Coturnix japonica: one gene and its partner. The protein of the gene in region 2 interacts with the protein of the main gene of each other region in a pairwise test. Links are inferred from orthologs where the notes say so. Each region holds a gene or a part of one and is shown on either strand. Other genes may lie near its edges.

The links.
Region 1: the proteins of USP13 (region 2) and TRIM55 interact in a two-hybrid assay, tested with the Homo sapiens proteins (2 studies listed by BioGRID and IntAct). The link is inferred for Coturnix japonica from reciprocal best matches to the Homo sapiens genes USP13 and TRIM55.

Annotation. Positions count from the first base shown.
Region 1 is NC_029517.1:104,130,310-104,136,013, forward strand, and holds the start of TRIM55 (tripartite motif-containing protein 55), read left to right. Parts: upstream 1-1,952; 5' UTR 1,953-2,107; coding exon 2,108-2,296; intron 2,297-2,719; coding exon 2,720-2,892; intron 2,893-5,704. UniProt on the Homo sapiens protein: E3 ubiquitin ligase that plays an important role in regulating cardiac development and contractility, muscle growth, metabolism, and fiber-type differentiation.
Region 2 is NC_029524.1:15,337,177-15,342,990, reverse strand, and holds the start of USP13 (ubiquitin carboxyl-terminal hydrolase 13), read left to right. Parts: upstream 1-1,927; 5' UTR 1,928-1,998; coding exon 1,999-2,151; intron 2,152-2,259; exon of another isoform or gene 2,260-2,746; intron 2,747-5,814. Other genes in the region: NDUFB5 (NADH dehydrogenase [ubiquinone] 1 beta subcomplex subunit 5, mitochondrial), read left to right, coding at 271-377, 763-883. UniProt on the Homo sapiens protein: Deubiquitinase that mediates deubiquitination of target proteins such as BECN1, MITF, SKP2 and USP10 and is involved in various processes such as autophagy, endoplasmic reticulum-associated degradation (ERAD), cell cycle progression or DNA damage response.

The sequences.
Region 1 (5,704 bases), on a different chromosome or scaffold from region 2:
TCCCAGGCACACAGTGCACCTTCAGAAGTGCCTCTGTTCACTGACCCAAGTGTCAATGGGTTTTCCTGTGTTGCTGCTGTACACCACTGTATGCAGCTGGCTCTGCACAGCAGCATATCTAGCCCTCAGCTTTCCTTTGCAGAGTTTTGCTGTTTCTGCCTGTGCTGCAGGCTGAACTGCCTCACCATGCAGAGAAAGCTTTCCTCACCCAACACAAAGCTCCTTTATTCACACGGGGTTTGATGTGCAAGGGGCAGCTGACTCAGGGACAGGAGAATCAGCAGGAGGCCTTCAGATTCCTTCAGACACCAGAGTCACCTCTGACCTGACCATGGAGTGGAGGGAGCAGAACTATCCTCTTGCTGCTGCCAAGAATGACTCCCTGCCACCCCTGCCAGAAGCCCCAGCTGTCTGCTGTTCAGCTGCCGGAGCAGCTTTCCCCTTGCAGCTCCTGAGCTCTTGCCTGCACTGTGGAGCTGGATCAAAGTGTGACTTCAGACAAAACTGTCGCAAATTTCTCATCAAAGGAGGCCTTTGGAAAAAGTTTGTTGTTTTTATGGGGCTGCTGACAAATTTATAGGGGTAGCTGAAATTCTGGCTCGGTAGGCTGCAAATGGGTGCAGGATTTAACCCAAGCGCTTAAAGCATGCAAGGCATCGAAGATAAAAACTAGTCGGTAATACACTGAATTTAATGTGATCTGTTGTCACTGCATGCAGAGAATATTATTCATTTTTTTTCACGTGGAAATCAATGAAAACCTTCACTTTAATATCTCCCTGAACTGCACGGTGTGCGGACTGGTGTGGCATACAGATAGAGGGAAATGAGGTCTGCCCAGGACACACGGGAGATTCACTCAACCGCTGTATTATTACACATATCACAGCCAAGCACTACAGAGTTATAAGCTAACAGAAACACAAGAACTTTCTGCAAGATCCTTAGAGGAAAAGGCATTGAAGTTATTGATTAAGATAGCAGACAATATACTGATTGCATGTACAGTACAGTGGCAAAGTGATTTTATACAGTACATGCGGGGACTCTGGCTTAAATTGAGAATGAGAGATTTTATTACTTGTACAGTTGTGCAATAAATTATTGGCAAGTGGAAGCACAGATGGCTTTCCCTTAAGATCAGGCATCACATGCCACACATTATCTGGGAAATTGTCATTTTAAAAATAACTCTAGAACAAGTGCCAAGCTGAGAGGGATATCGGTGGCTAATAAACAGACACAAACAGCAGTGCCCAAAACCAAAATGCGTTTGAATTAAACTAGGCAGAGAGAGAGTGTGTACAATTAGTACCTATTCTCTAGCAGTAAAAATTAAAGCTTTTCATACTGTAATTCTTCTGTCTCTTTCTTATTAGAAAATTCAGATAGTGGCTTTGGGGCATATTTAAGCTACTGGATTGAACACTCACATTAAATTCTTGGTTCCTAAAAAATTCATACTGGAAGAAAGTTAAGTGCAGTTATTGGTAGGCAGTGCTTTCAGCTGGTTTGTAAGGCAGTGACATGCTTACATCCTGAAGGATGTGAGCCAGAGAGCAGCCATCTCTCCTGTTGTCTCTTCTAGGAACTTTATGTGCTCCATGCCTTGGGAAGGCCAGCTGCTGGAGCCTGCTGAGACACAGGGGCAGCACAGCAGATTACACACTGCAGCCTCAGCTCTGTGCTCAGCACCGTGACTATATAGCACAGCAGTAGTGGCTGTCAGTCTGGGCAGCAAGTTTGCTTTGGCCCTGTGAAGATAAGGGCTGCTCAGATGGTGCGTGCTTATCACTTGGCTGCTCCCAGGGGTGAAGGCTGCCATGTGCGAGTGAAGAGAGCCAGGGCTCTGCCACTGCCCCCCCCCGGCCCCTGGAACTGTCACCTGTCCCAGCCTATCCTCCTCTCACAGCTTATATGGGCACGGCAGAATGGCATCTTGTGACGCCGCGCTGCTAAAAACAGCCCCGGCTCCCTCCGGCCCCTCGTTCAAACAATGTCCTCCAGTGAGCGAAGCCCACAGAGCCTCTGATCGCACTGAAGCTTGGGATTTATTGCAAGGAAAATTCACCCAGAAACGGAGCAGTGACGCCGTGATCCTGAGCGTATGCCCCTGGAAAAGCTAGGGATGAGCACCTCTCTGGGCTACAAGACCTTCTCCAAAGAGCAGCAGACCATGGATAACCTGGAGAAGCAGCTACTGTGCCCCATCTGCCTGGAGATGTTCAGCAAGCCGGTGGTCATCCTGCCCTGCCAGCATAACCTGTGCAGGAAATGTGCCAGTGATATTTTCCAGGTAGGTCCACTCCTGTGGAAAGCTCTGAAGATTTGAGCAGCGCTGGGTTGAATGAATGGAAAAGCTGAGTATCACCCGGCTCAGCTGATTGCTTTTCATAGATGTTAAGGCTGTTTGGGGGGGCTGCCCTTGTGCTCTTGAAGGAGCTGCATTATGTCTAGCACAGATCATTGCAGCACCATGAGCCTCATCCAGGTGGCTTCAGCGGTCTCTCCAACAGACCTTTAGATATTTACTTTGAATGGCTTGACTCAGAGTTCCTTGGGTTGGTAGGGCAGAAAAGGGAAGAGGGAGAGATATGCCCTGATTTCATCAGATTTTGGTCTGTCGTGCTCCAAAAATGATGCCTTGTTATCAAAATACGTTCTGGTAAAGCTGCACGTGGACTTACTCACCTCTTCTTGTGCTGCTTGGCAAGAACAGGCCTCGAACCCCTACCTGCCCACCAGGGGAGGCACGACAGTGGCTTCGGGAGGTCGGTTTCGCTGCCCTTCCTGCAGGCATGAAGTGGTCCTTGACCGGCACGGAGTGTATGGGCTGCAGAGGAACCTGCTGGTGGAGAACATCATTGATATATACAAGCAGGAGTCCACGAGGTAACATGGGAGATCTGCCACAAAAGCAGACATCACTGGGATGGCTGGGGTGTCCTTCTGGTCATTATGTTTGTCAAACAGTAGGTTTATTTGTTAATTTCTCTCTTAGAAATACAGAAAGGGGTTGTGTTGCTGTGCATGCCTGCCTGCTTGCTGTGCAGTGAAGTCAGCTCTGAAAGCAGTATCCAGATGGATGCTGGATTTCCCTGCTTCCACTTATAGAACACAACTCTGTCATTTTCATTCCCTTGAGCAGTACTTACCCCGTATAGTCGGCAAGAGTATTCTCATGAATGAGGGAAAAGTAGCTAGATTCATGTTGTTTATTTTATGAACCACTCAAACAAACGTATTTCTCTTTAACCTGTGTATTCTCATGCTAAAGAAGGGAATGGGATTTCAAATCTTGTTAGAAAATCCTAAGGGATAAAAAAGGAGATAGCTGAATTGCACCCAGAAGATACCCAGGATCATAACATTACATTAAAATACAATAAGAAATCTCAACTTCCGTCAGCTTGGGAGAGGAACACATGAAACTGAGTCTTATTTAGAATTCCACAGAAGTGAAGGAACAGCTAGAAATAATATGTATCAGAGCTATATGGTGATGTGTTAGAATCCCAGGGCAGAGGAACAGGTTAATCCTAAAAATTAAGATTTCTCCTAATGTTAAGTTCCTCAAATGCATATGTCCATATCCAGCAGTGGAACAATATCTCATCTGTCTGCCTATACTGGGTTGGGCACAGGCTACCACTCTAGGGAACATAATAGGAAGGAGGCAAAGGCTGGTCAGAGGCCACTAAGCAAGCAGCTCTCACCCAGGGATGCAGCCTGTTGTCACCACTATGCGCATGTAGGTCCAGGTTTGTAAGGCAGGGTATTTGTACACCTGAAGGAAGGTGGAATCCTGGCCTCCTTCCACAAGCAGCTGGGCTTTGCAGGGATAGCAGAGGTGATATCACTGGAGCTGGTGGACTCAACCACTGGACCCAGCTCCTTGGGTGGCTTAGGGCACTTCCATCTTCCTCCAACACAGAGGTTGTTTTGGGGCACAGCAGTGGCTCTGGCTATTCCTGTCTAAGTTCTCACAGAACAGTTGTAGCTGCACATGGATTTGAGCTCCAAAACACTAGAGAGCACAAAGTTGGCTTAAAATTGTCCTTTCTGCTGCCCTTAGCACTCCATGGCCAGGGAAGGTCATCTGTCCTTGTGTGTGTCATTGATATCCAAGTATTATTTGAGTCATGTCTGAGGAATCTCTGAGGAAATGAATCAACAGAGTGGTGGATTTTGCACTCAACCAAATAAGCTGGACACTTGTGGCCTCATGTGCTATATTTCTTTTTCCAGCTCAAGGGTTGTATTAGCGCCCCACCAGACTCTGAGAGGAATGTTGTCCTATTTCCCAACCCGAACCTCCCCTGGCATAACTGAAGGCCATTACCTCTTGTCCTATTGCTGTTACCTGGGAAAAGAAGCTAAGCCCCACGTTGCCACAACCTCCCTTCAAGTACTGTTCTCTTCAGAACAGTGAGGTCAAAAATACAACATCATGAATAAAAGGGGAAAATCGGAAACAAATATGAACATGAATGATGTATTTGCATAGATACCTGCCTGGAACCCTTGTTTGCTTAACCTTTTCAGGGGTTTATTTAACCTTGATGAATGTCCTTAGAATTAAAATAATTATCAGGGTTATGTAGCAGCGACAATGCATAACAGCATTATCTAAACTATTTGGCACTTTGTAGGCTTCAGCTGCTTATCTCCCTCTGCCTCAAATTCCTCGGCCTCTCATCAGATGGGGGGGCTCTACCCAAGCTCTCACAGGCAGCCCCTCTCATTACCAACGATTACATCCTTTTTTGTCTTTTATCATGCTGCACATCAGACTCCACACAATGACAGCATAACCTGTTGCCCGATTTAGTATCTATTAGCAAGACCAGGGGAAAAATATTCAAGCAGGATGTGACTTTAAAGCTTTAAAGGGCAGTAACATGCTGAACCCAACAGAAATAAAGTTAACTAAAATATTACCCCAATGTTTGAACGTCTGTAGGCCACTGTTAACCTGAACTTTCTGAGGAGCATCAGGGGGCCTGCTGCTACCAGGAAAGGGTAGCTGCTGGAGATTGCAGCTCCTCAGTCTCTTCCAGCCTCTAATGAGCTCCACCAGCTATTCCTGAACAAAGGGTGCTTTGGTTTCTGTGTCCTCTGGATCCAGCTCCAGGGTTTGTAGAGTGCTCCTCCCCTGCACCTACAAGGGACAGTACTAGGTAAAGGCTGGCCCTGCTGTGGAGCAGGAGGTGTAGTACAACAGGGACCAAGAGCCATGAAGAGAGCAGTGTGTGCGGGCTCTGTAGCAGTGGGGATGCACAGCAGGGCAGCATGCCCAACACCACCAGGAGCTGACATGTCAGAGGATGTGGCTCTCCACTATGGGCTGTGGGAACATGTGGGCTCTCAGATAGTCTGGACCTGGGAGATGAACAGGCAGTGTGCACTAGGGAGGGTCAGTGTTACAGTGCAGGTTGATCCTGGGGCCAGGGCAGTTTAATACTCTCATTAATGACCTGGATAATTGGGCAGGAGCTTACCACTATCAGATTTGCAGGTGATACAGAACTGTGAGGAGTGGCTGGTACACTGAGTGGCTGCTCTTCCTATCAGAAGCATAAATGGTTAGAGACATGGGACGTCAGGAGTTTCATTTAGTTCAATAAAGGGAAGTGGCAAGGATGCTAGAGGATGTACGCAATGGGGGTGGAACTGTTTTAAGTCTGTGCCATTTAGGCCTGAC
Region 2 (5,814 bases):
GTTACTGGCTACATTTAGAGGCTTGGAGTCCTGTCCTGTGATGACAGAGGCAGCTTAAAGGAATTTATTTCAAAGAAAGAAAATAAACTGAGTGTCTCCTGTTTTAATGTTCTGATCTTACAAATAGTTGAGCATGTTTTTGACTTTCCTATTACTGCTTGAATGACAGCACCCGTAAGGTTGATCACGTCTTCGGGATTGGGAATGCGCCATATAATGGCATTTCTATTTGGAAATTACATTAATCATTTCTGCTTTTCTATTTTCCAGCACCCTATAAGTCGCTGGATTGCTCGTTACCTCCTTGACCCACCTGAAAAGAACTATGAGAAAGAGATGGCTTTCATCCACGTTGAAGCACAGAAGGCTGAAATGAGGTACGTTAGTGAAGGTGTTTTGAAATGCTGCTACACAGTATAGTTTATATTTTCTTAGTTGGATGCTGGCATGGAGTACCTGCTTGCTTATACATCACTTGACCTTGCCTGCCTGCTGCATTGGCTGATGCCACAGTGGAAGTTAGTGTCTATAATCCCTGCCTTCTTGGTATTGAGTACCAGCACTGGAATAATCCAAGGGCAGTCTTGTAAAATAACATTCTCTTTGTATTTTCTTATTACCTGTGTTTCATTAAAATTTATGAACAGTAGATGCTAAACTCGTTGCTGCTCTCAGTATTGCCCAGATGTTAAACGTTGATACAAGTCTGATCAAAACCAATAGATGGCACGATCAGTGTGAATTCTGATCTCTTCCTTTCAGGCTGATGGAGCAGGAGGCACGCAGACTGATGAGACAGAGGGGAGATGGACCGTGGTATCAATACGAAACACCTGATAAAAATCTTGTTGATAATTCTATGAAAGCAACACCTGACAACTGAGCAGGTTTAAGGTAGTGTGCAGCTTCTGATGCATACCAACAAATTGTGGCTTATCTGTGGAGCACACATCCTGCTGTTTAATGATGGAAATAAAAGACTAAAAAACCACAAGTAAGTGTTTGTCCATTCTGATATCTTGGAAGGAGTTGTGTGGAAGTTCAACTTGTATCGCTGCTAAAGGTATTAATCAGATGAAATGCCTGATGTTTCTTAAAGATAGAAACACAGAGATGAGTGGCTTCTGTGCATTGTTTCAAACCAGGCCGTTCTCAGTGTAGATTACACACGAGGTCCCTCTGGAATCTATTACATCGCTCTGTTTGTGGGGTTGTTTTCCCCCTATTTCTCTCTGCCGCCTTTGGGAAGCATTGAGGTAGTGGGGATGTTACTGTTAGCTGTCAGCCTTCTGCCGCTAGAGGGATGTGTTCCCTTCGGTTCTAACGGCCAGCCCTGAGGCTGGGAATCCCACAGGAGGGTGAGGGCAGCGTGTCCTGCAGGGTCAGACCCAGGATTGTCCGCTTCCACTTTTTAAAGCGGAGAAGCCCAAATTCTGCAGCAATCCCCGGATCTCGTGGTTTCCAACTGCTAAAACTCGTAGCAAATAACGTGAAGCAGCGTTATGCAGTCTGCGTTCAGCGGAGCCCGCCTCGTTACCTGCTTCGGAGCGCCGCCAAACAGACACTGGGATCGACTTTGTGTCAGCGCTTCCTCTACTCCTTTTCGCCCGCATCGATCTCCCACATTAGCTCCTGTTCTTAGCGCAGCGCTGCTTGTTTATAAACGCTTTGTCAATCACGGCAGAGACCGATGAAGAGCACGAGGCGTTCCGGGCAGCAGAGCGGAGCCCCATCGTTGTGACACCGAGCGGCGCGATCCCCTGCGGGCACCTCCCGGCGGCTGAGGGCGGGCGGACAGCGCTGTGCCTCTCTGCCCCTCCTTCCGCCCCCGCCGGGACCCCCCGGTGCCGCCGCAGCTGGTGCCGCTGCCATTGGATTATAAATAGCCTCTTCCCTCCCCCTCTCCTCCCCCGGGCCCGGCTCCCGCCGCCGCCGCCTCGCCCTGCCCCGGCCCCGCCGCCCGCATTGCCCTCTCCGTCCCTCCCGCCGTCCGGAGTCATGCAGCGGGCCGCGCTGTTCGGCGGCGGCGACGCTCAGATGGCGGCCGGGGACCTGGGCGAGCTGCTGGTCCCCTACATGCCCACCATCCGCGTGCCCAAGTCCGGGGACCGGGTCTACAAGACGGAGTGCGCCTTCTCCTACGACTCTCCCGTGAGTGCAGCGGGGCCCGCGCCCCTCCGCTCCTCTGCTCCTCCACCTGCTGCCGCCCCCTCCTCCCCTCAGCCGCCCCTCGCGGGGGTCGCGCCGGGCCCTGCTCCCCCTGACCTCCTCGCGGAGGCCGGGATGTGTTTGAGGAGCAGGTGCTCGGGAATTGCTTTATAAACGGAGCCGGGGTTTGTGTTCAGCTCCACGTGAAGCTGAGGTTTCCCGGCGGTGATCGAGCACTTGGCGTTGATGTCCAAATGGCGTCGGTCTGGGGTCACTGTACGGAATATCCAACCAAAGGCGCCTCAGAGATTGCCGTCTCTTTTCCCACCTCTGTTCAGTAATTCCTTCTAATGCAGAAAATCAGAAATTGGCTGTAAAGGTGACTCAGCTGTCTGGTGCTCATCAGCCCTCGTTGTAGGGAGGTTATTTTTACCGTGCTCTTCAGCTCTCAAGTGTCATCCAGCAGCCCTGGCTGCAGGCGGGCTGATTAAAGCTGCCCCATCAGACCTAATTGCGTTCTATGCTTAACGAGTCTTGTTGGTTCCTTTTGGAGGGGTGAACCAGCGTAGTGTAGCTTTATCTTCGGGTTTCTGCTCAGGTAAGCAGGGTTGATGTGCTTAATAACTTAATGGCTTTTGTTACGGTTTATAGAAGTTGTTCCATTTGGGATGATAGTTCTAAGGGGTCAATGGGGGCTTTCTAAGTCTTTGAGCGCAGATTTGAAAGTTTCTAGCATTTGTTTTTAACTTTAATTAACTCTTTAATTCAGAAGGAAAGTGTAGGAAAGGCTCAGCTTGTTGCCTTGGCTGAAGGAAGGTGTTGATCCTGCTGTGCTTTGTATTGCAGCGGCTTAGTGACTTCTTTTCTTAGGTCAGCTCTGTATAACCACGTTGAGCCACCTCCTGTGGAGCTGTCTGCCCTTTGTGAAAGAAGATACACAGGTGTTTATTCTTGTTTCAGTGTTAACACAAACAGTCCATGTTAAAAACACATCCTTCTGTTTTTTATTATCTAAGGTAAGATTTCGGGTTCCCTCCAGTGGGATTCTCATCTCAGAGACTTCTGATCGTTTTAGACCAGTGACATCAGAAGGAGAGATGAGTGATGGAGAAGAGACACAAACTGGAGTGTAAGAAAGGTGTATGTGCAGAATGTGCACGTTGTAAATGGAGGTGCTCTGAAGCATCCCCCGCAAAGGGCACAGGTTGCTGCTACAAGAAGCAAGCTGTCTGGTTCAGTAGGTGGCTTGTGTCCTGTACGTGTGGATACAGGGTTGTGTACGCTTGTGCAACTGAAAACTTGGCTCTGCTCTGTTGGAAAACCTTGCTGCTGACAGCAGCTTCCTTTGTGCATCTTGCTGACTTCATGACTGTGACTTGCAAACTCTGTAATGGCTGTGTTAGGACAATTCCCAAAGACTAAACTGAGCCAATTGCTGTTTATTCAACAGTACAACTGAGACTGCAGTCCTTGAGAGCTTGCAGTATGCACGGATATCAATGACTGCTTCATGTAGCTCCCTAGAAATAAATCCTGCATTTCTGGGTGTTCCTGTAGTCAATATTCCTTGAAGAAAATTAGAAAGTTTCTGAGGCTGCTGGCTGAGAGAAGTGGACAGATGTTGTGTTTATATTGATGTGCTGCGAGTGGCACTGAGGAAATGAATAAGAGGACTGAATATAGTGAGACAAATTGATTTCTGCAGACAGATTCCAGTTCCAGGAGTAAGAAGTCCTCCTCACTTCTAAAAGTGAAGTATATGTTTTTAGATCAAACTTGAAAGTGGACTTGCTGTTTTGCTGGCAGCATCTCTATGTGCTGTTGTATTCAGTTGGTTGGCAGTTTGTTTTTGTTGTGTTTCCTTGTCAGTAGTACTGATGCATGACAGAGAGATGGCCTCATTATGAGGTATTAAACATCGCTTAGATGAATATTAAGTACTGAAATTCTGTTATTCCTTTTAAGCCTGTCCTGAAACAAAAGGTCTGTCATTTAGTTACACTGTTGTGGAACTTGATGCAATATGTGTATGCTAGGAATGTTACTGTCACTGTTCCAAATATATTGCAGATTGAGCTGTCATTGTACATCAGGAGCCTTGTGGATGCAGCCAGATTAATTGTGGTGATTACTGATAAACAGACACTTTGCATAGAGCCTGTAATAGTTCTTTATGGTCCCGTTTTTTTGTGTATGAGGCAGAATGAGCAATCTGTCCTGAATCGGACTTTATAGGCTAAAGAATGAACAAACTCTCCACTCCTTGTGTTTGAGATACGGAGACTCGGTGGGACTTAAGCTGCAATTTTACTCTCTTCTCTGATCCCCTTATTAGCAAGTATCTTCTTCTGGTGGGTCTAAAGTGAACAGCCACACAGCAGTCATTGTGCCCAAGTCTGTAAGGTTTGCCATGTTAGTGGATCTACCACACCAATTCCATTTCTATGAGTTTGTTATTGTCTGAGCCATCTCAGTCTGAGCTGAAATTGCTAAACTCTGGACTTCGGTGAGGGAACGAAGCGGCTCGGAGTTGGGTAATAGGATGCAGGTCAGTAGTTCAAAACGTGATCGAGTCAGTAGTGTTTGAAAGCACTTGGTGTCTGTGCCGTGAGTGTGTTTGGAGTGAGGTGCTGGTCTCTGTCTCCTCATGGATTGGTGTTTGTGTTTTCCAGACCCCAAATTCACCATTCCTGCTGTTTTTCAGGCTTAACAAGGGACTTGCTGCCACATTCGAGCTCTTTTGCTGTGGATTCCTTACATTTTCATTCCTCATCCTACCTGTGTAAACCACGAAGTGTTATTTAAACAAGAGAAATGAATGTTTTTAAATGCTTTTCTCCCTGTTGTGGACAGCATATCTCCTTCTGTATTAGTGAAGCATCTGGTGTACTGTGACTGACCGGCTTAGCAGCAAAGAACAGGAAGAATAAGAGCAATTGCTTTCCCTTTTGTTCAGGGTAAGAACTCTGCTCTGCTCTTGAATGGCCTTCTGGGTGAAGAGATATCAAGGTCTGAGTGGCAGCAAGTACAAGCCGCAGTACTCAGACTGGGCTGGGAAGGGAAGACCATGTCTATGCACCACTTAGTCCTGAGCTTTTTATGTCAGTTACAAAGAGTTACGTGCTGCAGCTATGTAAAATGTTGATCCTTCCAGAACTGGTTGTGTTTTCAGTAGTGTTAAATTCACCAGCCCTGAACTTCTCTTACATCAGTTGAGAGTGCTTTGAGCACCAAGCAGGATCTCATCCTTTGTGCAGCACTATGCATCGGTGCCTCTGTTTTGCTGTGACCTTTTCAGCTTTCGAACACTCTGTCCACTTCTTTCCAAGAGGAAATAGTCTGCCTGTGTTCTCTGGGAGAAATAGCTGTTTTGTTAGTAACCACAACCAACTTAATCGGGCTCTACATTTAGCTCATGTGCTGCAAGTGTCAGATTGTTGTCATAGGCTGCTTGTCAGCGCAGGTTCCATGGTCTCATAGATTCCCTCCAGGAGAAGAGAGAATGGTCTCCAAGAAAACAAAATTGTAAACAAAGTTCCTGAAACTGTGGAGTGACAACAGCGTGTATTTTTGTTTAGGCTGGTTTACATATGGGATTTTCTTCCTGAGAACACGTCCTTGGCTTTTTCACAGGTGATAATTCAAAAGGATTTGGAACACAGGCTG